Linked DNA regions of Notamacropus eugenii. The main gene of each other region encodes a partner of the protein of the gene in region 3 in a complex. Links are inferred from orthologs where the notes say so. Each region holds a gene or a part of one and is shown on either strand. Other genes may lie near its edges.

Region 1 (7,931 bases), about 27 Mb from region 3:
AGCCAAGGATTAGCAGAGAGGGCCAAGGATATATGCACACTTGCAGGAGTTGAAGTCATGTTTAGAAGTAAGATTCAATTAAATTAGATTAGACAGACATTGATTTAGTACTTATTTTGCACAAGGCATTGTACATGCCTTGTACATGAGGACATAAAAGTTAAAAGTGGCACAATCTCTGCCCATGAGAGTGCATTGTCTTCTTGGGGCCTGAGGGTGGGGGAGGAGGTATGTGCCTAAATACATTTACCCATTCAACAAATATTAATCAAATGCTCATTACATGCAAGACTCAATGATAATCAGGAAAAGATAAATTTTTAAGTAGCATGGTTCCTGCCATCAAGTTGCTCACAGTCTTCTAGGAGGATATCGTATGGAAAAGAAGTATAATACAAGGTAGAATGTGATAGAGACAAAGGAAAGATCCAGACAAAGTGGTCTGTAAAAATTTGAGGAGGAAATTCTAATGTGACAAATGCTTAGGAGAGGTCAAACAGAGAGGAAGGCAACACTGGGAAGGGGTAGATCATTACTAGGGCAGCTAGGTGCCACAGAGGATAGAGTGCCAAGTTTGGAGTCAGGAAAAGTCATCTTCCTGAGTTCAACTCTGGTCTCAGATGCTTACTAGCTGTATGACCTAGGTCAAATCATTTAAGCTTGTTTGACTCAGTTTCTTCATCTCTCAAATGAGCTGGAGAAGGAAATGGATAACCACTCCAGTATCTTTGCCAACAAAACCCCAAGTAGGATCATGAAGAGTCAAGACACAACTGAAAATGACTGAACAACAAGACCATTCCTGTCCGAGAACTTGGAGAAATGATCATGGAGTTGGAGGCACCTGAGTTGGGGCCTGGAAAGAAGAAAGGGGTTGCAATAGGTACTCAAAGAGGGAGAAGGGGAGTCCATTACTGCCATGGGAAATAGCTTGAGTTTATGAATTGAGTGGGGAGACGGTATGAAAGAGGGGAAATGGGGGAAGACATTGGAGTAGTCAGATAATTGAAAAAAACAGATTGAGTGAAGGAGTAATGTGAAATAAGACTGTAAATCCCCTCTACCCCCATTTCAAATCTATTTCCCCCCTCCTCTGGCTTCTGACCACATATAATCAAAATCATGCAAGTGAACACTGTCTTTTGTGATCTCTCATTTTGTAACAGTGCATAGCCCTGTTCCAGGTTCTATAGGGGAATAGCTAGAGGACACAATTCTTGCTCACAAGGAGTTTACAACCTTGTTGGGAGACAAAAATGACATAGAATTGGATTTGGAGTCAGAGGACCTAGGTTCAACTTCTCTAGCCCTGCAGTTTACTAGCTTTGTGAGATTGGATAAGTCAGTTAAATTCTTAGTTCTTCAATTTCCTTAATTGCAGAATGAGTGCATTAGACAACATGACTATCTAAGGTCTTTTTAGGATGGCCAAGTGGAAAGAGTTCTGGGTTTGGAGACAGTAAGGTTTCAAATCCAAGTTCTGCTGCTTACTACTTTTTGATGAGATTTTGTGTAAAAATGCCTTGTGTTTCTGATAAGAATTAAAAGATCAGCACTATCACCTCCCCAACCCCAGTCCAGAGCATGGGTTGTGAGAATTAAGTACTGATTGCCCAACAAGGGGAAGAAAGGTGGAGATAAAGGATGGAGGGGTCCAGAGTTAAGGTCTTATCTCCCCCTTCCCAAAAGGATAAGGGGATGATCTACTAGAATGGCAAACCAAATATCCACATATTCTGCTTACCAGGGCCCCACAGAAGAGGTGCAGGCTTCAGAGAAGGGTGAAAGTCAGACACAGGAAACCTTTCCCAACTCAGAGAACCAAATCGACTATCCCAGAGACCCAAAGAACAATTCTGTTGTCTAAAGCAGGCTGTGAGAGCCTTTAGAAAGCTGTGGAATTGTTCACTCCTCCTGAGGCAAATTGTCCCTCTTCCCCTGCCTGCTGCCCTTGTTCCTAGGCTTGCCTCCAGATGCTTCTCCAGTTCATCCTTCACCCAGCCCTCTATTCTACTCTCTAACCCTTAGTCCTCACCACCACTACCTTCAGTGACTTCTCAAAGCTATGCCTTCAATACAGTCTTGTCAAAGAAGAAGTCAGATTGTTCAAGGAGTGGAGATGGAGGGAGCTCAGAGAAGAGGGGAAAGAAGAATGAGAGAAAAGCAAAAGCTAAATTTTTCCCCTTTATAAACACAGATCACATATGGTTAGGAGTAGGGTGGGAAGCCACATATTAAGTACTGATCTTTCTAGAAGTCAGTCTGCTTACCTATCCATTTTGTGTGCATTGGTCAGTCTCTTGTGTATTTCTGTTTTTAAGTGTGCACATGCTTGTCTTTATGTGTGTCTCTGGCTTGTATATGGTTCAAAGTTCTCTCTCTCTCTCTCTCTCTCTCTCTCTCCCCACACACTCTTACATTTTCTTCTCCCTCCATATTTTTTCTAGGACTGGGTGTGTTTCCTCATTTTTGCACTGGAGGGCTGGCTCCCTATCACTGTGGTTAATCCTGAAGCCTGAGGTTGACTAGCTCACAGTGACCTCACCTGTCGGTATCCAGCAATGACCTCAGGTCTTTCTCTGTGTAGTTGCCTATCCTGAAGGAAGCAGTGGGGTGTGAAGAGCAGGCTCAAAGAATTGGGGAAGTATCAGGGCCAGGCCCTGTCTCTGTGTAAGGGAGAACAGCCAAAGATCCGGGTCATTATAGGAGCAGCTTAGGTGGGCCAATAGCTGTGTAGGAGGGGATGAGGGTGGGGAGGGAGACAATGGGTCCCCACTCTTCCACCACTGATCCTATAGTCAAGATCAGCAACTCCTTCCTCATACTCAAATTTGGTTTCTCTCCAATGGTGAGAGGAGGGAAGCAAGGAGCAAGAGCATGATAGAATGGTAAAGCTTGGAAGAGATTATCTTTCCAATTGCTCAATCTTGTACACAAGGAAACTGAGTTCCAGAAGAAGTTACTCCCTTTTACACCCCCAGGTCCTACTGCAGAGAGGAACAAGAAGCTCCCTTTCATTCCTAGACTCCTTATGGGAGCCTGAGGAGGTTTTCCTGTCAGAGTTGGGGGTGAGAAACAGGCAGGTATGAGTTTGAGGACTTTGTAGGGCTAGAAGGTCCAGAGCCTTTGGAGAAGGAAGCACTGGACAGTAAAAACAGAGGAGCAGGCTGTCCCGAGTCTGCTAGGGAGAATCAGAGCTCTCCGTGAGGGTGTCTTCGCAATAGCCAGACCTTCGATCCTAAGGCAAGGATTAACTTACTTTGCTGCACTCGTGGTAGTAATTCTCCCCTCAGAAATGAAAACACTGAAAAAAATCTTTCCTATTTTAAATATCTCATGTCTTCTTTATTCTTCTACTGCCTTCTATTCTACCCGGCAACCACTACTGATTTCCTCATACCCCTATCCCCCACCAAAAATAAAAAATAAAAAAGAGAAGTGAATCCTCTGTTCACCTTCTCCAACTTCAAATGCAGCTGTTGGAGTCACAGCTGGATCCCATCTGCTGAGTGTACGTGAGTGAAATAGGAGACACAGGAGAGGACACAGGATAAGCTGGGGCTCCCGGACCTCCTTCGAAGGCTGTCTGGGGATCAGGTTGTGGAGTGAGGGGGAAGTTAGAATGGAAGATGGGAGAAGAGACAATGACTGACCCGCCTCCCCCAAATACACACAGTCGGTGGAAGGTAGGAGTGAGAGAAGGACTGGGGGAGGAACATAGCCTGACGCGAAGCCTCAGTGTACTCTCATTGCGTGACGGTGGGGCTGGTGCACCCGTAGTCACAGAACCACGGACCCTAGGGGAGAGGCCTAGGGTTTCCGTCCTGGCACTCAGACAGAGGGAGAACTTGAGGAGGGGGTACACATATGGTCCCCACAGGCATTCTCCGACAGAGTATTACTCTGAATCCCTGCAAACCGAGCCCAGTTGAGTCTTCCTGGGGTCCTGAGTCTTGGAAGGCAGCTACTACCCTAAGTCCAACTAGGACTGTGGGGAGCTGTCCAGGGTTCCCAGACCTCTCCGCTCCTCCCTATTCTCTCTGGCTGGTTCTGCTTATTGGGTGGGGCGAAGAGAGGAGAGCCAGGCGGGCGGCGTGCCTGAGCAGCGCGCCGCAGCCAATGGAAGAGGCTGCTGGGACGAGTTGGGGGTGGGGGGTTGGGGTGAGCTTGCGGGCTTGGGAGCAGGCTGAGAGCGCACTCTTGCTCCGCGCTCCGCCCGAGCGCACTGGCTGCCGGCGAGGGGAGCGCTCAACCCAGTTCCAGGGCAGGTAGTAAGGGGCGCTCAGCCTGGCGCGGGTATAGGAAGTAAGGAGGGTTTTCAGCACGGTGCACCAGCAGGCAGTGAGTGCAGCTCAGGTCGGTGCCTCCGAACACTGTAAAAGGGGAGCTCAGACCCGTGCACCTGCAGACAGTGACCGGGAACATAGCACGGTGCAGCAGCAGACAGTAAGAGGGGCTCTCAGATTGATGCACGAGCAGTGAGGGGGGCCCTCAGTTCTTTGCACCCTCAGACAGAGAAGAGTGTTCAGCCTCGTGCAGTGGCAGACTGTAAGGGGCGGGGAAGCTCAGCCTTATATACTCTCAGACAATGAGGGGGGGCCCTCAGCACCGTGCACACGCAGACGGTAAGGAGAATGCTCAGCTTGATGCACATGCAGACAGTCGAGGGGGCTCTTAGCCTAGTGCAAGAATACGCAGTGAAAGAGTGCTCAGCCTGGTACACAACAGGCTGTGAAGGGTCTCTTCCCTAGTTGCTCTGCCAAACCGTGAGGGGGGAGGGGTACTTCTCTAGGCTTAGGGACCAGCAGTTAGTGGGGGAGGGGAGGAAGCGTGCAGCTCCGGGTATACGATCACTCTCTCCAACCCTGCTCTGGCCACTTGGAGTGCCTGGCACACTCAGGTTCCCTTCCCCCTCCCTCTCTCGCTCTAGATTGCTGAGCCTTCCTGACCCTCTCTGGCCCACCTCTGCCAGAGGCTGCGGAGCCAGACGAGGCGGGGCTGCGGACACCAAGTGGCGGGAGGCGGAGCCCGAATCTTAGCCCTTAGCAGCCCAAAGAGGGTGTAGCATCGCCAAGACACCGCGCCTTGGAGACACCTGTTGCCAACACCCTCCACCCCGTTTGGGCCGCGTTCAGTGGACTGGCCCATACCCTAGAGGTGTGTAGGTTCTGTTCCTTCGAGGCCGGGCCTCCCTCTGCCCGGTGGGGCTGGGGTGCATGAGGTGGCGCTCTCTCGGCTTGCCATGGAACGCGCCCTGCCCGACGGGGCCCTCAATGTGTCTTGGGGACCGAGTGCTGGAGAGGCTGCAGCCCCCGGCTTCTCTGCCGCCTGGACCGTGGTCTTGGCTGTGCTGATGGCGCTGCTGATCGTGGCAACCGTGGTGGGCAACGCTCTGGTCATGCTGGCCTTCGTGGTGGACTCCAGCCTCCGCACGCAGAACAACTTCTTCCTTCTCAATTTGGCCATCTCTGATTTCCTAGTAGGTAAAGTACACCCACCCTGGGGTAGGGGGAGTGGGGCAAGTGACCCACCGGCGGCAGCTGAAGACCTCAGGGGGAGCGGGCTTCTTCGAGCTGAGGCTGCTGTGGGAAGGGTGTGAGACGCTGGGTGCAGGGCTCGGGCTATGTGTGTGGCCTTGGACCCTGGTGCAAGAAGAAGGTTAGGGGTAGCATTGAGGCTGGGGCCTCATGGGAGAGAGGTACCAGCGGCAGGTTTATAGGACCCTTGGGAGCAAAGGACATTGGGCAACTGGAGAAAGGGAAACCATAGTAGCTAGGGTCCCTGAGGTAAAACTCACTAAGTCTTCCCGGAGTCCTCTGTGCTGAGTCTTATACACTACCTAGGTGAAATTGAGTAGGACAGTGGAAGAGGAGAAGACCGGGGGTTCTGGAAATTTGGGACAGAAGGGCCTGGATGGGAAGATGTAGGCGGAGGTTCCCCGTGCTGGTTCCTCTTCTTTCCTGCTGGGAGAAAAAGCGAGAAAACTTAAAGGAATTTAGGAATCAGAAACAACAGACTTATGTGGGAGGGAGGACGACTTAGTGCCCCCTCCACTCCAGTAACTAGAGGAACTAAAACAGTGGAATTGTGCTTCAGTTCCCTAGTCATGGGTCGTCCTACCCCGGATCTCTTCCATTTCTTGGGATATAGAATGTGTGTGCTTGTCACTGGGAAAAATATCCCCGACCTTTGCTTCTGAATGGGGGCGGGGCGTGGGAGGGAGGGCTGCATAGATGCTTCTCTCACCTTTCCTCCTCTTGAAGTTGCCCGAAAATTGGGGTCGGGGTCGAGGGTGCCGTACTAACATTTCTCTGCTCCTACAGAGGAGGAAGTGATGGGGAGGGAGAGGCTTTGAGCTCCAAGGCCCGAGGCAAGGAAGGGGGGGAAGGGATACAGTAGCAAGTTGTGTAATGTTTGACATTTATATAGGCTTAAAAAGGGCTTCATCTTTTGATCCTCGCAATCCTCTGAAGTAGGTAGTATACATTATTATCTTCATATTGCAGAGGGGGAATCTGAAACTTGAAAAGATGAAGTGACTTGCCCAAGGTCACCTAACTAGTAAGCAGGAATTAGAACTCCGGTCTCCGGAATTCAAATACAGTGGTTCTCTCCACAGTCATTAGCAGGTGCAAATGCTTTATGTCTCCACCGAAACCAGTGCCCTAGAAAAAAAAAAATTCTTTGTCCACATGTTTTAAAAAACAGAAGGAGGGCACTGTTCTTGATGGTTGGTCCGATTGGGTAAGAAGGGGAAGTGGGGGAAGGGGCAAGTCTCAGAAGAGGAAATCAATGAAAACTTTGCAAAGTAATCAGAGAAAGTGGAGAAAGGGATGCTTCCAGGAGCAGGAGACAGGGGGGAAAGGCATGGAGGTGCCTTTCTGGGAATGGTGAGAAAGAAATATTTGCGACTGGCTGACAGAGGAGACAATTCTCCTCCCCCTGCTGTTCACGGAGACAATGGGTTTAGGGAGAAACTCCAGCTGGTGTAGGAGTCTGAGGAGCTTGAGTCTGTTGCTCCTACTGGCTGGAAGGGAGGGGCTTGCACGGATTAATGTTTGGGGGGAGGAGCAAAGCTTTTCTGTTGAGAGCCCCACTTGCAGGACGGAACTAGATGCATCAAACCTGCCAAGACACTTGGTGTGATCTGAAGGCTGCCACAGCCATATGGTTATCACCTATTGCCATGGGATAAATGTAGCAGGAAAGGGGCCAAGCAACTTAGTGGTGGCTAAATGCCAGCGATGAGGGACTTATAGATTCTCAGCTACTGGAATGGTATTTTTTCCCATTGATACAGCAAGAGGTGGTCATTTTATCCTTTAATTTTCCCTGAGAGGGAAAATGTAGGCTAGAAAGAATTTCTCCTGCTTCCCTCCCTTTTGTATCTTCTCCAACCTCCAGCCAATCTCAAGGACCTGGAAAAACTGAGCTGAACGTACTGTAAAGCAGAATCTACTTCAGCTCTTCAAGGCCTGAAGCTTCAACCCCTCCCCCAGCAGAGGGCAACAACCATTTATCAAACAATCTGGGTCCCTAGTTTGTTCTGGGATTTGGAATTTCCTTTCTGACTTGTTTAGCTGCTAGATGACTGGCTCAAACCTTGTTCCCCTGGCCATTCTGTGGTTGAGTCCTGAATTCAGAGGCCTTTCCTTTATACATTAGTATAAAAATGGAAAAGAGGCTACCAGGTATCAGGCTGAAGAAGTCCTGGGAATCCTGTGGCTGCCTGACCCTGTAGAGTGGCATGAATAAAACTCATATTTTTCATAGCATTTTAAGATTTACAAAGCATTTCCTCCCACAACAACCCTGTGAAATATGGAAAAAATTCCCCATTTTACAAAGGAAAAGACTTGGGCTCAAAGGAGTTAAATCACTGGCCCATGGTCACATAAGGCAATATGCATCATAGCTAAGTTTCAAACCCA
Region 2 (7,869 bases), on a different chromosome or scaffold from region 3:
AGAGATCTCCAAGTGGGGAGGAAACCTTGCGGTACAATAAACTGCGGGATATAACTGAGCTCATTTGGCCCAGCCCCATCTCAACTTTTGCAGAAGAAACAGGTCGAATAGTTTACGGAGGTTGCTGTTCAACAAGTGAGACAAGAAACGGGCTCATTTTCTGCCTATGAAGATGGAAGGCTGGGATTGCCTCCAGCTTCCTGGAGGATGAGGAGGCTGGAAGCCCACAGGGAGACTGCCCTTCCCCCCTCCTCACCGAGTACCCTCCTTCCTCCCCCTCCCCCCGCCCTCCTATCTAGACCTGTACTATCACAGGCTCCTCTGGCAAAAGAAGTTAAAGGATACCCGAGGGAAGGGCGCTGCGATTGTTTTAAATGGTAGGGGACGAGAGAAGGGGGTGGCGTTGGGGGCATATTGACTGTCTACCCCTTACCCTCATCTGATGAGAAAAGTCACCCGCGATATGTGACGATTTTGGCTTGAGGAAAATCGCTGAACCTCCCTGGGTCCCAGGGTTGCTCACGAACCACATCACTCACCTCTGGCATGCCCAAATTATGCGTGTGTGCAGTCTCTGGAGGGTCTCTCCCAGCCCCAAGTAGCCATTCCTAACACAGGTGTAAGCACTACATGCCATTGATTACACGCTGGACACCAAGGAAATTGTATTTTTTATTTTTACAATGAACGTTTATTGAATATTCAGTCCTAAAGGAAGTTATTTTTTATTCATCAAATGAAAGAAGCAAAGGCAACTGAATTTTTCTAAGTAACTAAACTTAAAATACAAATTTTAAAAACTGCCTATTTTTTCTAGTGATTCATTTATTTTTAGTTTTCAGCATTCACTTCCACAAGATTTTGAGTTAAAAATTTCCCCCATCTCTCTTCTCTGTCCACTCCAAGACAGCATATATTCTGATTACCCCTTCCCCCAAATTGCCCTTCCTTCTATTACCATCCCCTGCTTCTTTCCTCCCTTTTCCCTCTATTTTCTTGTAGGGCTATACAGATTTCTATATCCCATTGCCTGTATGTCTTATTTCTCAGTTGCATGTAAAAATTTTTAACATTTGTTTTTAAAATTTTCAGTTCCAAATTCTCTCCCTTCTTCCCTCCCTCCCCACCCATCCCCACTGAGAGGGCAAGCAATTCGATATAGGCTATACATGTGTAGTTATTCAAAACACTTCCATAACAGTTGAGAAAGACTGTATTTCCCTCCATCCTATCCTGCCCTCCATTTTTTCTGTTTTCTCCTTTGACACTGTCCCTTTTCAAAAATGTTTGCTTCTGATTATCTCTTCCTTTCATTTGCCCTTCCTTTTATTACTCCCCCTCTCTTATTACCTTTCCCCTTACTTCATTGTAGGGTAAGATGGATTTTCATATCCAATTGAGTGTGTTTGTTATTCCCTCCTTAAGTGAAATCTGATGAGTAAGGTTCACTCATTCCCCTTTTTAAAAGCTTTTTATTGATCTTTTATGTGAGATAATTTCCCCTATTATATTCTATCTCTCCCTTTCTCCTTCTCCCAATATATCCCTCTCTCATTCCTTAATTTTATTTTTTAGATATCATCCCTTCACATTCAACTCACCCTGTTCCCTCTGTCTATATATATGTCTATATATGTATATGTATACATTACATATGTACACATACACAAATATGTACATATATACACATATGCATATGTGTGCATGTGTGTGTATGTGTGTACCCTCCAACCATCCTAATATTGAAAAAAATCTCATGAGTTACAAATATCATCTTTCCATGTAACAATGTAAACAGTTCAACTTCAGTAAGTCCCTTATGATTTCTATTTCCTATCTACCTTTTCATGCTTCTTTTGATTCTTATATTTGAAAGTCAGATTTTTTAATCAGCTCTGGTCTTTTCATCAAGAATGCTTTAAAGTCCTCTATTTCATTGAATATCCATTTTTTCCCCTGAAGTATTATACTCAGTTTTGCTGAGTAGGTGATTCTTGGTTTTAATCCTAGCTCCTTTGACCTCCAGAATATCATATTCCAAGCCCTCCAATCCCTTAATGTAGAAGCTCATGTTATCCTGATTGTTTCCACAATATTGAAATTGTTTCTTTCTGGCTGCTTGCAATATTTTCTCCTTGACCTGGTGTAACAGAAAGCACCCCAACAAACACAGGAGGGCCTGCTATCACAGGTTCTTTGATTTGCTTTTATAAAAGGAAAGTAACTTTTGAGGGGTCAACAACCACTTTAATCAAGCACATGTATCATTCACTTAGTTCAGGGGGGAAAAGCCAACACCCTGAACTTCAGAGAAAATACAGAGAAATCAAAATCAACAGACATGCTTCCAACTGTCTGACATAAGCAATACATACATCATAGATCAACAGACAGATCCAGCTATCTGATTATTACATACATACATAGTTACCAGAGAGAGAAGCACCAATATCTGGGTTTTCAAAGCCAGGGACTCCTTAGCTTCCCAGAGTCTCATCTGGCCACACACACACTTCTAATCAGTAAGCCCCCCAAAAAAACCTCATCTCAGAGTACTTAGTACTCAGAGGACATCACAATCCTAAAGAATTAGTGCCTCATTAACGAAAGGTGTGGACTTTGCTACAAATCTTCCCAGGTCCATTAATGGATGGGGAAAATCTTTCCATTAAGAGGCAAAATTGTATTAACAATAAGCAAAAATGCATTATCAATATACCTGGGAACTCTGGAATTTGGCTACAATATTCCTTAGGAATTTTTCTTTTTGGGATCTCTTTCAGGAGGTGCTTGGTGGATTCTTTCAGTTTCTATTTAACCTTGTGGTTCCAGAATATCAAGGAAATTTTCCTTGATAATTTCTTGAAAGATTATGTCTAGGTTCTTCTTTTGATCATGGCTTTCAGGTAGTCCAATAATTTTAAAATTATTTATCCTGGATCTATTTTCCAAGTCAGTTGTTTTTCCAATGAGATATTTCACATTGTCCTCTATTTTTTCATTCTTTTAATTCTTTGCAATTTCTTGATTTCTCAAAAAATCATTAGCTTCCATTTGCTTCATTCTAATTATTAAGGAATCATTTTCTTCAGTGAACTTTTGGAACTCCTTTTCCATTTGGCCAATTCTGTTTTCTAAGGCATTTTTCTCCTCCTTGGCTTTTTGAACCTCTTTTGCCATCTGGGTTAGTCTATTTTTTAAGTTGTTACTTTCTTCAGCATTTTTAGGGGTCTCCTTTAAAAGCAAACTGTTGACTTGTTTTTCATGATTTTCTTGATTTTTCATCTCATTTTTCTTCCCAATTTTTCCTCTACTTCTCTTACTTGATTTTCAAAATTCTTTTTGAGCTCTTCCATGGCCTGTGACCAATTCATATTTTTCTTAGAGGCTTTGGATGTAGGAGCTTTGACTTCACTGTCTTCTTCTGGTTGTATGTTTTGATCTTCCTTGTCACCAAAGTAAGATTCTATAGTCAGATTTTCCCCCCTCTGTTTGCTCATTTTCCAAGCCAATTACTTGACTTTTTAATCTCTTTGTCAAGGCAGGACTCTGCTTTGGGGTGGTAGTGGTGGTGGTGGTGTACACCAAGTCCCAAGCTTCAGGGGTTTTGTGCAGCTGTTTTCAGAGATAGGGACCTGTAAATTTTCAGCTCTTCCAAGGTGGTGTGATCAAAGGAGAGGTGTTTACTTCTCTTTTGGCTTGTGCTCTGGTCTGTGAGTGACTTCAAGCACTCTTTTCTGCATTGGAACTGTGAGGAGGATTCTCCTCCCCACAGCCACCACAAGGTCTGCCATGCCAGTGCTCCTCCTCACCCCAGGAGCACCACCCAGGATTGTGACCCAGATCAAAGCACAGGCAAAACAAGAGAATCCTTCCTCAGTACCAGCAAAAAAGATCCCTGAAATCCCCTTCTGATCAGTCACTCAATTTCCCCACCATCTGTGAGCCTGAGAGCTCCCAATGCATGCCCTGCTGCTGCTGCTGCCACTGCCATCACCCTGGGGCTGGGACCTGACTACGCTCCTCTCACACAGGTCTGACAGACTTTTCCTACTTACCTTCTAAATTGTCTTTGATGTTGAGAAGTTGTCTTTGGGATTGAGAAATCTGGAAAACGCTGAAGCTGTCAGTGATTCATTCTCCTGAGGCCTGCTCTGGCCTGTCTGTGCTGGTGTGGTCCAAGCTGGACAGTGCTCCTCTCCCAGCCCAATACAATAGACCTTTCCTGTTGACCTTCCAGGTTGTCTTCGGCTGGAGATTTGTTTCACTCTGTCATTTTGTGGCTTCTACTGCTCTAGAATTTATTTGGAGTCATTTTTATAGGTATTTGGAGGAGTTTGGGGGAGAGCTCAAGGAAGTCCCTGCTTTTAATCTGCCATCTTGGCTCTGCCCCAAAATATTACTTATTTTAAAAAAAAGCTATTAGGGGACAGCTGGATCTAGCTGAGATTCCTAGAGAATGGAGATTTTTGTCTCTAAGGCAGATAAAGCTGCACCCATCCCCTCCATGTATAGTTGTCAAGAGAACACTGGCATTTTGATGCCCATTCTCCTTCTTTACAAAGCTCCTTTACCTTTTGTCAGCTTAGCCTACCTCCCACACCCTGGTCCTCCCCTGTTTTTAAAATCTGGTTCACAGCTTCTTGTCTTCCAGAACTCTTCCTAGTTTGACTCTTTAGTTACCACCACTGCCATCCCATGGGGAAGGAGATGTGCCCAGTGGCTCAAGTTCTGGGTCACTGGCAAGGGTCAGCTACACTTCTACTACAACAGCCAGAGAGGGAGCTCTCAGGCTCTTTTGGGTACTGGACATCTGAGATCAGGGGAGCCCTTGGGAGGAGCTAAGCCAGTGTTTCCTCTTCTCCCCCTTTTCTGCCCTCCCTCACTTATAAACCAGAGCAGCTCCAGTTGATAAAAAAGGAAGAGCTGAGCTCAGAGCCACCGTTACTGGACCGAGATGGAGCCAAGTAAGTTTTCCCTTCTCTCTGCTCCTCTGTAATCCCTCCCTTTCTTCAGTCTCCTCCCTGCCTTTGTCACTGTCTTCACTTTTCTCTGTCTTTCAGTTATGTCTCTCACTCTCCCTTTCTGTTTTTCAATACCGCTCTAACCATATCCCTTCGTCTCCTTTCTCTGTCCCTCAGTATCCCCTTTTGTCACTTCAGTTTTCCTGCTCTGTCCCTGTCTCCCCTCTCTCTGTTCAATCCTTCCTTTCTGTCCTCTTTCCCTTCAGTCTCTTCTCTTTGCCCCTTAGTTCCTACTCTCTCTGTCCCTTCAGCCTCCCCATCTCTGTCCCTCAGTCTTCCCTTTATATCTGTCTCTCTCCCATTTCTGTCTCCCTTTATCTATGCCCTTCATTGTCCCCTCTTCCCTCTCTATCTCCTTGTTTCTGTCTCTCATTTCTCTGACCCTCACCTTACTTTTCCCTCTCAGTCTTCCTCTGTTTTAGCCCCTTCATCTCCATCCTCTGGTCCTGTTACCCCTTTCTGTGTTCCTCCCTCCCCCTGTCCCCCTTTTTATCCCCCAGGATCCCTGTGTCTGTCCCTCAGTCTCCTCCCAGCTCCTAGTCTTCCTTCCTTCCTTCCTTGGATGCTTCTATTTCTGCCTGTCAGTCTCACCATGTCTTTGCCCTCCAGTCTCTCCCATGTCATACATTCTCCCCTCCATTTCGGTCATTCCATTTCCATTCTCTTTCTCTGTCTTTCTTGGTTCCTTCTCTCTGCCTCTCTTTTTAAAAACACATTTTAATTTCCACTGACGAGTGTAGATATTCAAATATGGAAACAACAGTATAAGAAGTGAAGAAAAATAGCATGGCTTAGTGGTTAGAGGACCACCTTTGTCGGTGATACCTAGTGGTGTGTGGCCCTGGCAAAGTCCCTTCAGCTCTCAAATCCCCTGGGGTATCCCTCAGATTGGTGTTGCTGAGCTGCCTTGTTGAGGTAAACCTCTTTACCAGAATTTCCTTCCTGGGCTGAATTCATAGGTATGGGCTCCATCCATGACCTAACCCTGATCACTAACCCCGACTACAAAAAAACTAAATTAAATAACACAGCAATAACCTGAAAGACGAAACAGCCCGACAAGATGGTGCTTGGCTGTAGAAAGGGGAAAACGGAGTATAGGGGGCTTTCGAGGCAGGGGGAAGGGGAGGGTGGAAAGAAGGAGATGGTTATGCAAGGAGCTGTAATTTCATCAACCTTCCTGCCTCATATCTCCTTCCTACAAAGAAACTGGTACTGTCTATGACTCGGGGCGGGGGGGGGGGGGGACACCTTTATCCTGCACTTTCACAGCCAGTCAGGCTCAGAAGAGAGGTTCGAACTCAGGTCTTCCTGACTCCAACCCAGTCCAGCCCTTTATCAGATGGCAGGTTTCCTCTGCAAGTTTTCTGCTATTCGCAGTTAGTTAACCCTCCCCCCAAAGATGTGAGTATTGATGTTCACATAGCAGCACCCATATCATCCTTGTTTCCATGTTTTCTGTGTGTGTGTGTGTGTGTGTGTGTGTGTGTGTGTGTGTGTCCCGTTACTGGAACATTATGTACCTGGAGGTGGAGTGTTCTACTTCACCAGGCCACTAGATGGCAGAGTGGATGGAACATTAGGCCTGGTATCTGGAAGAAGACACGGGCTCAAATCCCACCTCAGACCTCTGGGCAAGTCACTTGACCTCAGTTTCCTCAACTGTAAAATAGAAATAACAACAACACCAACCTCCTAGGGTTGTTGTGGGTCTCAAATGAGAGAATATTTGTAAAGCACTTAACACATAGAAGGCTCTATAGGAATGCCAGCTGTGATAATGGTAGCACAATAACATTCCCTTCCTTGAAACATAACATGATCAATTTGGCAATTTTCCATTGATTAGACAAAAGTTGTCTGTAGTTCTTGCTGCAAAGGAATATTTGTGCACAGCTAGGTCTCACTTCTCTTTTCAGTGCCATCATTGGGGTATGTATGGTGCTAGCCATGAAGTTACTTATTGGGTCCAACACACAAAGAGTTCTGTGTTCCTTCCCCCAAGTCAATCAACCAAGATGAACTTATTAAGGAGCTGATGTTGGCTAAGCAAAAACTAAGGTGGAAGCATTTCCTGACCTCGAGAAGCTTATAGTCTGGCCATGCCTAGGTATAGAAGTAAAGTGATTACAAGTTGATTTTTTTTTTTTGGTGCAGATCAGGAAAGAATTCACATGGAAAAGGGAGCTTGAGCTGAGTCTTGAGGGAAGTAGGAGTTTGGAGAGAAATTCTGTCTTCTACAGGAAGCTGTTCCTGACCTCTCTTAATTCCAGTGCTTCTGTTGATTATTTCCTATTTATCCCGTATATAGCTTGCTTTGTGTGTATTTGTCTGCATGTTACTTCCCTCTCCCCCCATCAGATTGTAAGCTGGTTGAGAGCAAGGACGGGGTTTTGCCTCTTTTTATATCCAGAGCATTTAGCGCAGTGCCTTGCACGTAGCAGGAGCTTAATAAATGCTAATTGAGTGAGTGAGTGCATTCCCTGAATGGTGTACAGCCATTGCAAAGGTATAGGGACTGGAGAGGGAGGACAAGTTATAAGGGACAGTAATAGGTCCAACATGGCAGCACATAATGTTTATGGAGGAGAAGAGCAATAAAACAGGAGAGGTGTGTCGGGGATGAGTGGACAAAGGTATTGAAAAATGCCAAACAGAAGAGTAATTTTTGATTCTGGAGGAACTAGGGAGTCACTGAAGTTTTTTGAATGGACTTTGGGGACGGTGACATAGTCAGATCTGTACTGTAGGAAATCACTTTGGTAGCTGAGCAGAGAAGGAATGGGAGAGACTTGGGTCAAGGAGACCTATTTGGGGGTCATTGGTCCAAGGTGTTGGGTGGTGG
Region 3 (6,848 bases):
ATTACAAGAATTACCAAAATGTGACAGTGACAGGATGTGATAACAGGCTGTTGGAAGAATGGAACCAATTAACTTGGTTGATTCAAGGATGCCACAAACCTTCAATTTGTAACAAAAAAAAAAAAAAGGCAATATCTGCAAACTACAATATAACAAGGTATGCCTGTACCCCATTTCTGGGCTGTGAGCTCCTCTGGGGTTATTTTACAAATATTATATATTATACAAAATATATGCAGCATGTTATTTTATAAAGTGTTCCATGGGTATAGTATTTTATAAGGACCAAGTACTTTAAATTAAGATAGTAGGATGACCGTACAAAAAGAAAATATGTCAATCAAACATATTTATTCATATGAAAACATCCCCTAAAAAAAGTCCAAATCAAGTCTCAAAACACAAGTTTCTATTCTACCAGCTTTAGGATGAGGAATGAAGGATCATGGAAGCTGGGGATATTTTGGGGTTTTCATGAAAATTGGATGTTCTCAAGAGCTCTTGCCTTGAGTTCTCCAAAAAATAGTCTTTTAGGTAGGTGTGGGTTTGGCATTTGGACTACATGGTCAGCCTATCAGAACTCCACTCTCTGTAGCACAGTTTGAATACCTTGACAGAATACACCTTGACAGAAGACCTCAGTGTTCACTACTTTATCCTGCCTGATAATCTTCAGACTCTTCCTAAAACAATTCAAATGTCTAGGCTTCACAGGCATACAACTAGGAAGTCGGTACAACAAGGTCAGAAGAAGTGGTACAAGGACACTCTCAAGGTGCCTCTGAAGAACTTCAGTATTCATAATGAGACGTGGGAGATTCTGGCATAGAACTACCCAGCATGGCATGCCTGAATCAAAGAAGATGCTGTGTTCTATGAAGTAGCACAAAGGAAAATGTAAGATGCACGAATCTAGAGACATCTTCCTACCAAATGTTCAAATGGATTATTTGTACCCAACCTATGGCAGAGCCTTCCAAGCTCATATTGGACTAATCAGCCATAGCTGAACACACTGTACCTTGACCCCAATATCATGGTATCATTAGTTCTCGTCAGAGTATGAAGGACTAAGAACAACAAGATGTTCTCGTAGGCTTACACTATAACTTCAAACAATAACAACAAAAATCATAGACCTTTAGAATGGGAAAGGCCAATCTAGTCCAACCTCTTCATTTTAAAAATAAGCAAAATGAAGCCCAAAGAAGGAAAGAACTTCTCCAAGTCCATAACTGGTGAATAGTCTGGAGTAGAATCTGTCTCTTCTGATTCTCAGTCCAACGTCTTTCCCAAGAAATAATGTTGATGAATAAGTGACAGGAGGCAAATCAGATCTTTAATTCAAATATAAACTGTTCCCATTTCCCACAATGGAATAATGGAATCCTATTTTTTAGTCCTTATTCTCCGAGGTCCTTTTGAGCACTATCTATGATCCCATGATTCTTAAAATGCATCTCCATACGGGTTAGTTAGTTTCTTCTCATAAGATGTACTAAAAAAAAGGTTCCAGCTTAGTATATATGCACCACCACCTTAGTATCCTTTGAAGAGGGCAGCAAACTCTCTTAAAGAGAAGTGTAATTGAATTCTAATTTATAATCTATGAGGACTAGTGGTTTTTTCTGAAGACCAGAACTATACATGTGTACTCACACTTTAAGCAAACATGATGAATAAAGGTCTAAATCTTCACTTTACAAAAGGATTTACCATAGAATTCTTTATTGAATAGCCTTACCTCCCCATTAATGCAATACACTTACATACAACTTGAATAACATACATGTTATACAGCATTTGAGGATGTGAGCCATTTCATAAATAAGATATGCCTGTGCTAGGAAATATTTGCTTTGATGTAGACAGTAGATCTATATCTATCTATCTACTTCAATGGTCCAATGTATCTGAGATCAAATAGATTTAGGAACCCCTCCCTCTGCCAATACAATCCATTCATGACTTCTCACGCTATGTGATTCTTGTCCATGTCCTTTCATAAATCTTCCACAATATCTAAGCCAATATTCTAGAATTCTTCAAGTCCCAAACACAAGTATTTTCTTCTGGGTGCAGACCTTTATTTTGGTTATCAGTGTTTATATTTCCAAAACAGGAGTATCTGCTTTTATTATTGCAATGAAGCCAATGGATTTGTTTTTAGAACCATGATGATGCCCAAAGGTTCTAGGCAAGGTTTCCACTAATTTATACTCCCCCTGAAACCTTTCCTGATGGTTTAGTTCTCCAAGAGAAATTTGTCTCTTCTGGAGAGGCTATCTCTTTGAACTAATTATTAAAAGCAGTTTTACATGTAGAATGAGCTTCTTCAGAAAACAAGCCCAGTTATTTTGGAGAATATTCACGTTTGTACAACATTGGCTCAATTAACTATTCTGATGGATTGGCCTATTATTCAATCTCTATCAGGTGAGAAAAATGAAAGGAAGAAAGAGTTGATTAAAGGAGGAAGCCATTACAAGGAGAGTAGCTTTTTTCTTCACTAAGAATCTACATCAAAAAACCTCCTTTTGGGGGGAAGACTTAAGTTCCCTGAATTTTTCTAAATTAAATCCACTCCACCCAAACCAAATGGTTAAATCAAAAGGGGTCATTTTTAAAGTCATTAAAATATTTTCTGGGTATGTAGCATTAAGTTAGACTAGAAATTCCTTGAGGGCAGGAATTCTGTATTATTCAAATCTTGTACTATTCCAAGTGTAATATATATATATATATATATATATATATATATATATTAGCATTAATAAATGTTTGTTGATGTTCTCAATGTCTTATGCGGAAGAATGTCTTTACCTTCTTAGCAACTTGTAATGGAAAGAAGTCTGGACTGGGAGCCAGGAGAACCTGGGTTCCAGAGTCTGCTCTGCCACAGAACTCCAGCAAGTCTCTTCTTTCTAGACCTCAGTTTTCCCATCAGTAAGAAATGAGCTGAAATCTATGATCCAAGATCCCTTCTCCTTCTGACAATTCAAGCCTTACTTACCCACTCTGGACCTAACTTTCCTTCTAAAGGCTTAATTAGATGATCAGAGGTTCCTTCCAGCAAGCAGTGCTGTATGAACTGTAAATCAGAGGGCTTAGGTTTGAATTCCAGCTCTGTGATCCTAAACCGCTTCATCTCTCTGTGCCTCAGTTTCCTCACCTGTAAAATAAGGAGGGAAAGGGATTTGGACTAAATGGTCTCTCGGGTCCCTCTGGACCTGTTTCTTTAACGATAAAACAAGGGGTTGGGACTGGGTGGCACCGGGACTCAGTGTTCTCATCTGTCAAATAAGGATCTTGGTCCCGGAGGTCCCTCCGGGCCTTGGTTTTCTCATCCACAAAACAAGGGACTGGACGCGATGGCCCCGAGGTCCTCGTGGCTCTTGGGCTTCCTTCAGACGGCCCGGAGCCTTCGACTAAAGCCACGTCCTGACCAGAAAATAATGGAAAACTTTCAGCTACTACCCCGCGAAAGAAAGTCGTTTGGGCCCTAAAAAGGGCCTCCATTTGGGGGATGTGGCTGGGCCTCCGCTAGCACATCGACTGCGGACAAGGAGCGGAGGAAGCGAAGGAGAATGCAGAGGAGCCGAGGGGGCAGAGGAGGTGAGAGGAGGGAGGAGGCGCGCACGCCTCGCCAGCCTCCCCCTGCCCCCTCCATCCTCCCGACCCCCTCCCTACACCTTGCTACACTGCCTCTGCGCTGCAGCGCTCCCATTGAGAACGAGGAGAGGGAAGGGCGGGGCGGGGGAGCCGAGGCCGCGCGCGCGCGCCCGCCTGCACCCCAGGCTCCGCCCTCCGTCTTCTCCCGACAACGTCGGGGATGGGGATGGCGAGGAGAGCTCTCCTGAGTCCTCGCGCGCACACGCGCGCGCGCTTTCTCGCTCGCTCGCGCCCCCTCCCCAGGGCCCGGCGAAGCCGCCCGCTCTCGAGTCCCAGGGCGAGCAGGCGCGCGTCCCTGCTGACGTCATTGAGGCCGGCGAGCCTGTGCGGTGTGGGCTAGAACCCCTGGCGCACTCGCGCACTCCGCTCTTTTCCTTCCCTCCCCCCTCCCTCTCATCCCCCCCTCCCTCCCAGGCTCTCTTTCCCCCTTCTTTTTTTTTCCCTCTCCTCTCTTCTCTCTCCTCTCGCTCTCTCTCTCTCTCCATTAGGATCCACTGAACGATGCGATCTCTGGGAGCCAGCGCTGTCGCCGCCGCCACCGCCCGCTAGAAACCTTTCCCCCCCTTCCCCCCTTCCCCACCGCTTGCAAAGCCCCCCAAAGAAGAGGGAAAAGGAAAAAAAAGAAGAAAGAGAAGGGGAGGGGATGCAATACTAATCACCGTCCTAATAATCCTCTCTACCGAAGGATCCACCCGGGCTGCCCCCCCATCCCCATCCCCATCCCCACCCTCCTCCGGCTCCTGGCTCCATCGAGCGCCTCTGCCCTTTATTTTTATTTTTATTTTTAATTTTTTGTAATACTCCTCGGAGTCCGCAGCCTCGCGCTGCCGCCGCTGCTGCTGCCGCCGCCGCTGCTTCCCCCGCCGCCGCCGCTGCTCCGGAGCCCCGGCGGTGGTTGCCTCTTTTCGGATGCGTTGCTCGCCAGCAGCTGGGAGAGACCCGCAACCCTGTCTCTAGAGCTCACCACCCCAGCCCCGACCCCAGCCCCGATTCCAGCCTCCTCCTGCAGGTGACCGGAAAAGGGAGCAGTAGCCTGAAATCCACCTTGCGAATTTTTGGGGGGAGGGGCTGCATTTTTATTGTGTTTGGGAAACTTGATTTCTTTTTAAAAGAAAAAAAATACAAGAAAGAAGGAAAGAAAATTAGCGATTTTTTTTAAAGGACAGAAATAAATATTTCTGGGGGGGTGGGGTGGGGGGTCAAGCCGAGCAGGGGAACCGTGCCAGCCGAGGCGTGCGGGCTGTTTTGGGTGTCACGATGGGATGTACATTGAGCGCAGAGGAGAGAGCCGCCTTGGAGAGGAGCAAAGCGATTGAGAAAAACCTCAAAGAGGATGGCATCAGCGCCGCCAAAGACGTGAAATTACTCTTGCTGGGTAAGAGAGCCTTGGCCACTTCCTCACCCCCACCCCTCTCCGCCAGACCCCCAGAACAGCCAGGCTGCACCCTATTCCAAACAACGCCCCCACCGCCACCTCTGTATTTCACCCCTTTCTTCACCCTTCTCCCTTATTCTGTGTTCAGGAAGACTTGTCCTGAGTCCAGAGAGACCTTTCCCTTCTTAGATTTGCAACAAGATAACCAAGCCATTGCACACACACGAATCTTCTGCCAAAAAAGCTGATCCCCTGCATCCTTCAGTCCAGCTGCTCCCTTCCTCCTCCCAGTGTAATCTCCCAGTTCTTCTAGCCTGACACTGACTAGCTTTTTTCCTTTTTTTTTTTTTGTCTGTCCCTACAGGGGCTGGAGAATCAGGCAAAAGCACCATTGTGAAGCAAATGAAGTAAGTCCCTATTGTATTGGGATTTTAATTTTTTTCCCTTTCTTCCAGCTCTCCTTTAGGCCCCGTTTGTAATTCTTGTCCACAAACACATAACACTTTGACACCCCCTCCATCTCTCTTCCCACCTTAGGTGTTTCTCTTCCCTCCACCCCATCTCCCAGGAGAGATGTTTTTAGGGAGGGGTGAGGAGAAAGGATGATGGTGGGGGCTGTAGTTGTGTGAATGACAATGTCCGCCATATTGATCAGAGCATCATCACTATTGGCAATATTGTGAATGTTATTTCCTACTGGTGGGGTGTTTTTCCCTATCCCCTCCCTCCCCAACCCCATCCTCCACTCTTCTCTCTCCTCCCCTTCTCACAGCTGCACCTGTGGCAGGGATTTATTTCTGGCTTGCCTAGAAGATGGAGGGGAGGGGACCTTGTCTTTTGCTCTGGGTGGAAAATCAAGTGTCTGCTGTTCATGGTTTTGGTGCTGAATTGGAGGTAGTGGGGGTTTCTCTATCTCTAGCCTTCTGTCTCTCTCCCATGGACACATACATTCACATATACTCCCATGGGGTGGGGGGCTCAAGATGAGAGAAGAGGAGTGGGTGGCTTTCCAGGCTGATGTGAATGGCACAGATGTAACCAGGGCAGAGCCATCAAAAAGACCTGTGTCAATTAAGCTTAATGTCAGCTTTCTATCTCTCAGCTCTTTCCTCTCTGCCCCCACCCTCCCTGATGTTTGATCTCTTGACATGGGCTAACTCCATGGCACTTACATTATTTGTTTGCTGAATAAGGTATGTTATATTTAAATCTACCTACAAGGCAGATTTAAAACAAACCTTGCAGCCACCCCAAATCTCCTTCTACTCAAGGGGTCAGTCTTTAATTAGACTAACTGGAATTTTGACTATTGATAGAAATGTTTTCTTTTATTGATATTATTTTTAAGTGAAAGAAAATCTTATAATCTCCATAAAAGTCTCACCCTCTTTCTGAATATACACATTTTATTGTTCCTTGTTCTTGATACCCAACGTTTCTTGGGGAGTTCTAAGGCAGGTTTGTTTTAGATTTGGGGGAGGGGACTTAGAAGGTGTAGGTGCAGGGATTTTTGTGCTCCATTCTCCACCACCGATCTTGTGTCTTTGCTACTTCCGTTATCCTCCCCATTTGGAGTTCGTTTGAGACCGTTTAGTGAGGCTTCCACGTCGGTTTGCTGTGACACCTTTACATATACACAAGGTTCCTAATTAGGGGTTGCTATGCAGTAAACAAAAATGATTATTTTTCAACTTGACAGAATAGCTGAAGTAATTGCATCCCGCAGGAAAACAATGGAAAATAAAAATCTCTTTCTTGGGGAGGTGGGTGAGGGAGGAAGCCTGTTTGCGATTTCAGAACT
Region 4 (7,258 bases), on a different chromosome or scaffold from region 3:
CTAACTATATTTCCCTCCATCCTATCCTGTCCCCCATTACTTCTATTCTCTTTTGATCCTGTCCCTCCCCATGAGTGTCGACCTCAAATTGCTCCCTCCTCCCCATGTCCTCCCTTCCATCATCCCCCCCACCCTGCTTATCCCCTTATCCCCCACTCTCCTGTATTGTAAGATAGGTTTTCATACCAAAATGAGTGTGCATTTTATTCCTTCCTTTAGTGGAATGTGATGAGAGTAAGCTTCATGTTTTTCTCTCACCTCCCCTCTTTATCCCTCCACTAATAAGTCTTTTGCTTGCCTCTTTTATGAGAGATAATTTGCCCCATTCCATTTCTCCCTTTCTCCTCCCAATATATTTCTCTCTCATTGCTTGATTTCATTTTTTTAAGATATGATCCCATCCTCTTCAATTCACTCTGTGCACTCTGTCTCTATGTGTGTGTGCGTGTATGCATGTGTGTGTGTGTAATCCCACCCAGTACCCAGATACTGAAAAGTTTCAAGAGTTACAAATATTGTCTTTCCATGTAGGAATATAAACAGTTCAACTTTAGTAAGTCCCTTATGACTTCTCTTTGCTGTTCACGTTTTCATGCTTCTCTTCATTCTTGTGTTTGAAAGTCAAATTTTCTTTTCAGCTCTGGTCTTTTTATCAAGAATGCTTGAAAGTCCTCTATTTCATTGAAAGACCAATTTTCCCCCTGAAGTATTATACTCAGTTTTGCTGGGTAGGTGATTCTTGGTTTTAGTCCTAGTTCCTTTGACTTCTGGAATATCCTATTCCATGCCCTTCGATCCCTTAATGTAGAAGCTGCTAGATCTTGTGTTATCCTGATTGTATTTCCACAATACTTGAATTGCTTCTTTCTAACTGCTTGCAATATTTTCTCCTTGACGAAAGCTACACTTTCAAAGAAGAGTAATGCACCAAAGTGAAATACCAAATGTTGGATAATTATTACTTCAACTCAATAGCATTCCTCCTAGACCCCCTTCTTAGAGATTTTCACTTTGCTTCTTTTCAAAGCTTGACATTTCTTAATCACCTAGCTGAATGACCAGCATCACAAAAGATTTTGTGCAGATATTAAATTTTTTTTTAAAGAAATCATTACTTAGAAGATCAGGTATGACAATTTGCTGGTCCTTAGCAATGCTTTGGGAATACTGCTAACTCAAATAGGTTACTCAATAGATATTAATGCAGAGTGTATGGCTTTTTAACTACTTATTTGAACAGGGAAGGAAAAGAATGTAACCTTACTGATTTCAGACACCTATGAATTAAAATCTAATAGATCTCTATATATCTTCTCTAAAGTTTTGTTAGGATAGAATACATAGAGATCTATCTAATTTTAATAATCCTAATTACTATAGAACATGGTCACATGGCCATATTCTACAGCAATTAAATTTTTTTAGTATAATAACTTTTGCTGTCTTACTGTGCTATAGGAGTCATTCAATAACTAGTAATTAAAAATAACAAATGAGTATTTGAGAAAGAAAATAAGAATAAGCCTGTTAAAAGCACAAAATTTGAACTAGCAGAGCTTCTGGGCTAGTTAAACATTTTAGAAGGACAAAGAAGTTGCTCATACATGATATCAAATATTGAGATATAGTCAGTTCTCCGGATGTTTCTAAATATCGGATGGTTTGGTATCTTATAGAACAAAAAAAGGGAAAAAATGTTAAGGATCTGTTAAACATAGGTTGTAGTACAATAGTAGGACTACTGGATTTTGGAGCTACAAGATCTAAGTTTACATTTTAGTTCTGCTACTTACTCCCTGTGTGACTGTGGACAAGTTGCTTAATATCTTTTGGGCTCAGTTTGTCATCTGTAAAATGTCAGAACAGATAGAGTGTCCGGCTTGGAGTCAGGAAGTCCTGAGTTCATATGGGCCTCTGACACTTATTAGCTGTGAGACCCAGGGCAAATAAACTGTTTACCTCAGTTTCCTCATCAGTAAAATGGGGATAATAATAGAACCTACCTTACAGGATTGTTATGAGGATCAAATTGTAACTTGCTTAGCTCTATGCCTGGCTCATAGTAAGTTCTACATAAATGTTAGCTATTATTACTAAAATAAAGTTGATTAGGTGGCCTCTAAGGCCCTTTCTAGCTCTATTAGAAATCATTTTGAAAGTTATCATTTATAGAAGCTATACTTTGTAATCAATCAAAGTTTGCTATAGAATCAGTGAAAGACAAGCTTTAGTAGGTCCTTCATTACTTAGTCATTTCAGAGGTATCTGACTCTTCATTACCCCTTTTTGGGGTTTTCTTGGCAGAGATATTGGAGTGGTTTGCCATTTTCTTCTCCAACTCATTTTATAGATGAGGAATTTGAGGCAAACACAGTTAAGTGAACAACTAGTAAGTGTATGTGGCCAGATTTAAACTCATAAAGAGGACTCTTCCTGATTCTAAGCCTATTGCTAAGTCCATGGCACCACCTCACTGCCCAAGCAAGTCCCAACAAGTTGTAAGTACATCAGATGCAGTTACATAGGGGTTGAGAGTCTGATCAGTAGAAGATCAATCACCAAGTGAATCAATTTTTGGCCATGACAATTCTCTTAAGATTGTCTATTAAGGCATGGGAGAGGGGAGATTTTAGAGATAAGGGTAGAAAGATGGGGGAAGCTGGGAAGTTTGTAGTGTGAATTCATATTGTTTAATGCATATATTTGAAGGCACTAAAGAAGTTACTTTGTGTGTCAATTCTGCAAGAAAGTACATTAGTTCATTTAAAAATATTTGCCCAAAATTTAGTGACTATATAGAAGATGATCGTAAGCTTTTGCATGTCTTATTATCCATTAATTTAAAACATTTTGGTAAGGATGGTGATTAAGCAGTGAGATTAGTATAAAATGTGTTATTTGAGGATTAGCTGAAAGAACTAAGTATATTTATCCCGAAGAGAAGATTTAAGAGGAATATGAAAGTTGTCTTTAAATAATTGAATGGTTTCCAAATGGAAAAGTGGCAAGACCCTGCTTATGCCATTCCTCTGAGATAATTCTAAATCTTTCCAATATATAGCTTGTTTTTACATAGTTTGCATAATGTTTCACCTATTAGGGAACCCCTTGAGAGAAGCAACGAGTTTTGTCTGTTTATTTTTTGCTTTTGCCTTTGTATCTCCAGTGCTTCCTGAGCTCAGTGCCTGGCACAAAACAGGTACTTAATAAATCCTTGTTGACTTGACTTGACAAGTGGGTAGAAGCTGCAAGGAAGCAGATTTTGACTTTCATAAGGAAGATCTCCCTATAATTAGAGCTGTCCAAAATGTAATTCCAGGCCTTGGAAGTTTCTGAATTCCTTGAAACTGAACTTCTTTAAATGGGGAACCTTCTGTTAGGCTTGTCATAGCTGGCATATGTACTTCAGATATAGATTGTAACTAGATGAACTCTAGTCTAATACAATTCTAATATTGTCACTTTGGAGATATAGGCTTAAATTACATTTTAGTTAAAATTTCATATGTGAGATATAGTAAGCCTTGTATTTTTAAAATGTAGTACTGTAATAAAATCAAATATAGTATAATATTTGAAAATAAAACAATGAATATAGTCATGCAAATTCACTCATACCCACGTGCTGAGGTTTAGTAGAAAGCAGTATATGCTAAAGAAAATCAGGAAGGAGTCCTGAGAAGAATTCAATATTTTGCTTTTTTCCTTTCAGATTTTTGTTTTGTTTTTTTTTAAAATCGAAGGGCATTTGTGAATATGTTTTAACAGTCAATTAAGGAGTTATCTTGTCTATGAAGTAGTAAGGCATGAATACCGGGGTGGGAGTGGGAGGAATCAGTTCAAATTTTCTGGCAATGGAAGAAATTTCACGGGCAAAGTTTTTTTTTTTTTTTTTAACAGAAGAGACAGGGTGATGTAAATGAGAAAAGTATAGAGACTATAAATTAGTAGACCTAGGTTCCACTCCGAGGATTGTCACTAAATAATAATCTGCATTTGCACGGTACCATAAGGTTTGCAAATTGATTCTTTAAGTACATTATCTCATTAGAGCCTCTCAGTAACTAAGTGAGGTCAGTGCCTCAGGTGTTATCCTCATTTTACAGACGAAATTGAAGCTGAGAACCCAAAAGAAAAAAGGGCAGCCGTGAGAAAGGAGAGAGGGAGCCTAGGACTCCGCTGGTGCTATTTGCCTTTCATTGGGTGTGGGAGGTATAAAGGGGGAGGGGGGAAGGGAGAGAGGAAGGAAGGAAGGAGGGGAGGGAAAATAGTGGGTTCGTTGGCTGCTTCCTCTGGCTGGAACTGAGACATTCATGTCCCCCACATCACTTGCAGTGGGGAAAGGGGAGTGGAGAGAGTCCATTTTAGCTGACCGTTCACCCTCCTATTAGTCTCTTAAACCAGGAGGGGGAAAAAGAGGGAAAGAGCCCAGTTTGGGGGAGCAGCAAGCTGGAATCTCAGAGAGCTCCCGGGATTCGGGGGCTGCTACTGGGCAGCTCCCAGAGTCGGTGTGCAGCCGCTGCTCAAGCAGCGCCATCTCTCCGCCTGTCCTCCGCCTGCGGCTGCTGCAGCTCCTGAGGGCAAAGCGGGACCGAACAGAAAGAAGCAACAGGTTCACCTTCGCGCAACCTCTATTCAGGGAGAAGAAAAAGACAAAGCTTTGCAGGACCCTGAAAAAAGAATGAGACAGAGCCTGGACCTCAGCTGCAGGACCCGGTAGAGTGGCACGGAGTCACCCGAGGAATTCCTCGCTATCAGATCCCTCCAACTCCACACTAAGTGGCTGCCCGAGCACCAGACAGCGGATAGGATACATCTCAGTCCCTAGAATCCTTCCTCCTCTGCCGGCTTTTTCCACTCTAGTCCACGTCTAGCTTTTGGATCGCTTCAACTCTATTAGGGGCAAAGTTCTTATTTTTAGAAGTGCAGAAACTGTCGCTGCTGCTGTCAGGAGTTCGTCAGTAGGAAAAAATGTCATCCTATTAGCCTGCCTCTGCGTACTCATTCAGTCAGTCGACAAGCATTTCTTAAACTCCTAATATGTGGTTGGCACTGGGCTGATCTCTGGGGAAAGAAAAGAAAGGCAAATACAGCCTAGGTACTACCGTCAGTTCTCTCCACGTTGGAGGGACTCAACCTTCCTAGAAAGAACTTCCTACTGTTTCCGAGGCTTAGCCAAGCCCCTCCACGTCCTTCACCCTCTCCTCCAGCCAAGGTCTCTTCTCCTCGTTTCCAGCCGAGGTGCTCCCTTCTGTTCTCTGGGCTCAAACTTAGACCATGGAGCCCCACCTCGCTATGGAAAATCAGAGTGAAGGAGCTGAGGAGGGCTGGAATGGGACTCAACCGGAGCTGACAGATCGGGATCTCAGACCCCTTTTCGGTCTTGGCATCGAGAATTTCATCACACTGGTGGTGTTCGGGATGATTTTTGCCATGGGAGTGTTGGGCAACACTCTGGTGATCACAGTTTTGGCGCGTAGTAAGCCAGGAAAACCCCGCAGCACCACAAACTTATTCATCCTTAACCTGAGCGTAGCTGACCTGGCATATCTGCTTTTCTGCATTCCTTTCCAGGCCACCGTGTACGCGCTGCCCACCTGGGTACTGGGCGCCTTCATCTGCAAGTTCACCCACTACTTCTTCACCGTGTCCATGCTGGTCAGCATCTTCACCCTCTCTGCCATGTCCGTGGACCGCTACGTTGCTATTGTCCACTCGAGGCGCTCTTCCTCCTTGCGGGTCTCCCGTAACGCTCTGGTGGGCATGGGGGTCATCTGGGCTCTCTCGATCATTATGGCCTCTCCCGTGGCTTACCACCAGCGCCTTTTCCACCGAGAAATCAGCAACCAGACCTTCTGTTGGGAACAGTGGCCCAACAAGCAGCACAAGAAGATCTACGTGGTCTGCACCTTCGTCTTCGGGTACCTGCTCCCCTTGCTGCTGATCTCCTTCTGCTACGCTAAGGTGGGAGGTGGAGCGTGGTGGGGCCAGGACCGGAGTGGGGTGAAGGGAAGTACAGGAAAAGAGGGAAGAAGAAGCTGGGGTGGAGGGAGAGGAGACGGTAGGAAGCTTGACTGGATAGCATGGGTTTGCTTTTATTCTGTGTTCTTTCCCATTATCACTTTGTCCACAGATCCTGTCTCTCATCTCTGTCCTACTTGACCGTTGTTTTCCTTGCCCAAGAATTCTCTAAGCTAGAGGTACCACCTTTGTATGAGCTTTGATGAATATTTTAGTACTTAAATCTTAGCCTAGACTGAGGAAACTATACCAGAGTCCTCCTACAAAAGTTTGCTTTCTGCTGCTGCAAAGGTTTCTATTCTATAAAACCTTTCATTGCTTTGATAAGTGAGCGGTGCAAGAGTCCCAAACGTGCTCAATATGCAGATCTCTCCTCTCCTTCCCTCACTCAAAACTCCTTCGCGTTTTGTAATGCTTTAAAACGTTCTTTCCCCTAGTTTCAGTGTCTGATTATCACTAGCTTCACTTTGGGGGAACGTGTGTGGTGTGAGATACACATCAAACAAGCTGGAGAGCTGAAAACTATTTTCCATCAAATGCAAACACAGAGCGTCGGAAACGTTAAAACTGCTTGCTGCAGAGATTTTTGAAGGCAGGATCGACATTTTTTTTTCGTATTTCTTTGTTTTGTTTCTTTTGCAGTCCCAGAGCAAAAGCCCAATTAGTGTTTCCATCATGAAACAATTGTGCTGTTGACAGACAACGGCATAATCAAAACAAGTGGTAGGACGGAGACTGATCTCTGTTAACCGTATTGAAACGACAAGAATGTCTCTTGAGTCACCGGAAAATCCTGTCTTGCCTTGCTTGCTCCCTCACTGAGAGGATTCAGTGACAAAAGAATTCGGCCCCTGTTGGGGTCTATAGAAAGGGTGCATAATTGTATTGGTCGCCAGCCCACCATCTTCTGCTGTGGGAACTGGATTCAGATTCCATCGGGCTTCTAGATTGAAAGAAGCCAAGGGGGACTTAGGAGAGTTTATAGGCTTTATTTCGTTCACAGATTGAGAATGAGAACCAAGGAGGTAAAGTGTTTCTTTTCAGAACTCTAAACGGAGTCAGAGATTCCAGAGAACTGTCTTCTGCCCTCTAAGGGTCATTCCAACTCTCAATCACACTGTAATCCTACTGGTGAACTACTTATGGACTCTTCCTTTGCTGTCCAGTAATCCATACTCTGAGCACCCAACCACCTAAAAGGCCTGGCTAGGAGAAGAGTACAGATTTGAGATTTCTC

Evidence for each region.
Region 1: the proteins of GNAO1 (region 3) and HRH3 are in contact, whole or in part, in a cryo-EM structure (PDB 8YN7), measured with the Homo sapiens proteins. The link is inferred for Notamacropus eugenii from reciprocal best matches to the Homo sapiens genes GNAO1 and HRH3. Residues at the interface, in NP_066268.1 of Homo sapiens: Ile28, Ala31, Lys32, Asp33, Val34, Lys193, Asn194, Leu195, Asn312, Pro315, Asn316, Lys317, Glu318, Ile319, Tyr320, Phe336, Thr340, Asp341, Ile343, Ile344, Ala345, Asn347, Leu348, Arg349, Gly350, Cys351, Gly352, Leu353, Tyr354; in NP_009163.2 of Homo sapiens: Asn69, Asp131, Arg132, Ser135, Val136, Ala139, Val140, Tyr142, Arg143, Ala144, Gly147, Ile221, Ile225, Arg228, Arg232, Thr345, Phe348, Arg349, Arg352, Val356, Leu360, Cys415, His416, His417.
Region 2: the proteins of GNAO1 (region 3) and C5AR1 are in contact, whole or in part, in a cryo-EM structure (PDB 8JZP), measured with the Homo sapiens proteins. The link is inferred for Notamacropus eugenii from reciprocal best matches to the Homo sapiens genes GNAO1 and C5AR1. Residues at the interface, in NP_066268.1 of Homo sapiens: Ala31, Lys32, Lys193, Asn194, Leu195, Glu318, Tyr320, Phe336, Thr340, Asp341, Ile343, Ile344, Ala345, Asn347, Leu348, Arg349, Gly350, Cys351, Gly352, Leu353, Tyr354; in NP_001727.2 of Homo sapiens: Asn71, Phe75, Arg134, Leu137, Val138, Pro141, Ile142, Gln145, Ile225, Thr229, Arg233, Ala234, Thr235, Arg236, Ser237, Lys239, Thr240, Val243, Val244, Ala303, Gln305, Phe307.
Region 4: the proteins of GNAO1 (region 3) and GALR1 are in contact, whole or in part, in a cryo-EM structure (PDB 7XJJ), measured with the Homo sapiens proteins. The link is inferred for Notamacropus eugenii from reciprocal best matches to the Homo sapiens genes GNAO1 and GALR1. Residues at the interface, in NP_066268.1 of Homo sapiens: Ser264, Asn316, Glu318, Tyr320, Asp337, Asp341, Ile343, Ile344, Ala345, Asn347, Leu348, Arg349, Gly350, Cys351, Gly352, Leu353, Tyr354; in NP_001471.2 of Homo sapiens: Thr70, Arg133, Ala136, Ile137, Ser140, Arg141, His226, Leu227, Leu231, Asn233, Ser235, Lys236, Lys237, Ser238, Ala240, Ser241, Lys244, Thr245, Thr248, Leu306, Ser307, Glu308, Asn309.

What each region holds. Positions count from the first base shown.
Region 1 is NC_092872.1:501,065,760-501,073,690, forward strand, and holds the start of HRH3 (histamine H3 receptor), read left to right. Parts: upstream 1-4,930; 5' UTR 4,931-5,242; coding exon 5,243-5,483; intron 5,484-7,931. UniProt on the Homo sapiens protein: The H3 subclass of histamine receptors could mediate the histamine signals in CNS and peripheral nervous system. Signals through the inhibition of adenylate cyclase and displays high constitutive activity (spontaneous activity in the absence of agonist).
Region 2 is NC_092876.1:29,287,257-29,295,125, forward strand, and holds the start of C5AR1 (C5a anaphylatoxin chemotactic receptor 1), read left to right. Parts: upstream 1-4,869; 5' UTR 4,870-4,957; coding exon 4,958-4,967; intron 4,968-7,869.
Region 3 is NC_092872.1:473,622,764-473,629,611, forward strand, and holds the start of GNAO1 (guanine nucleotide-binding protein G(o) subunit alpha), read left to right. Parts: upstream 1-3,833; 5' UTR 3,834-4,929; coding exon 4,930-5,047; intron 5,048-5,411; coding exon 5,412-5,454; intron 5,455-6,848. UniProt on the Homo sapiens protein: Guanine nucleotide-binding proteins (G proteins) function as transducers downstream of G protein-coupled receptors (GPCRs) in numerous signaling cascades.
Region 4 is NC_092875.1:205,221,607-205,228,864, reverse strand, and holds the start of GALR1 (galanin receptor type 1), read left to right. Parts: upstream 1-4,246; 5' UTR 4,247-5,277; coding exon 5,278-5,964; intron 5,965-7,258. UniProt on the Homo sapiens protein: Receptor for the hormone galanin. The activity of this receptor is mediated by G proteins that inhibit adenylate cyclase activity.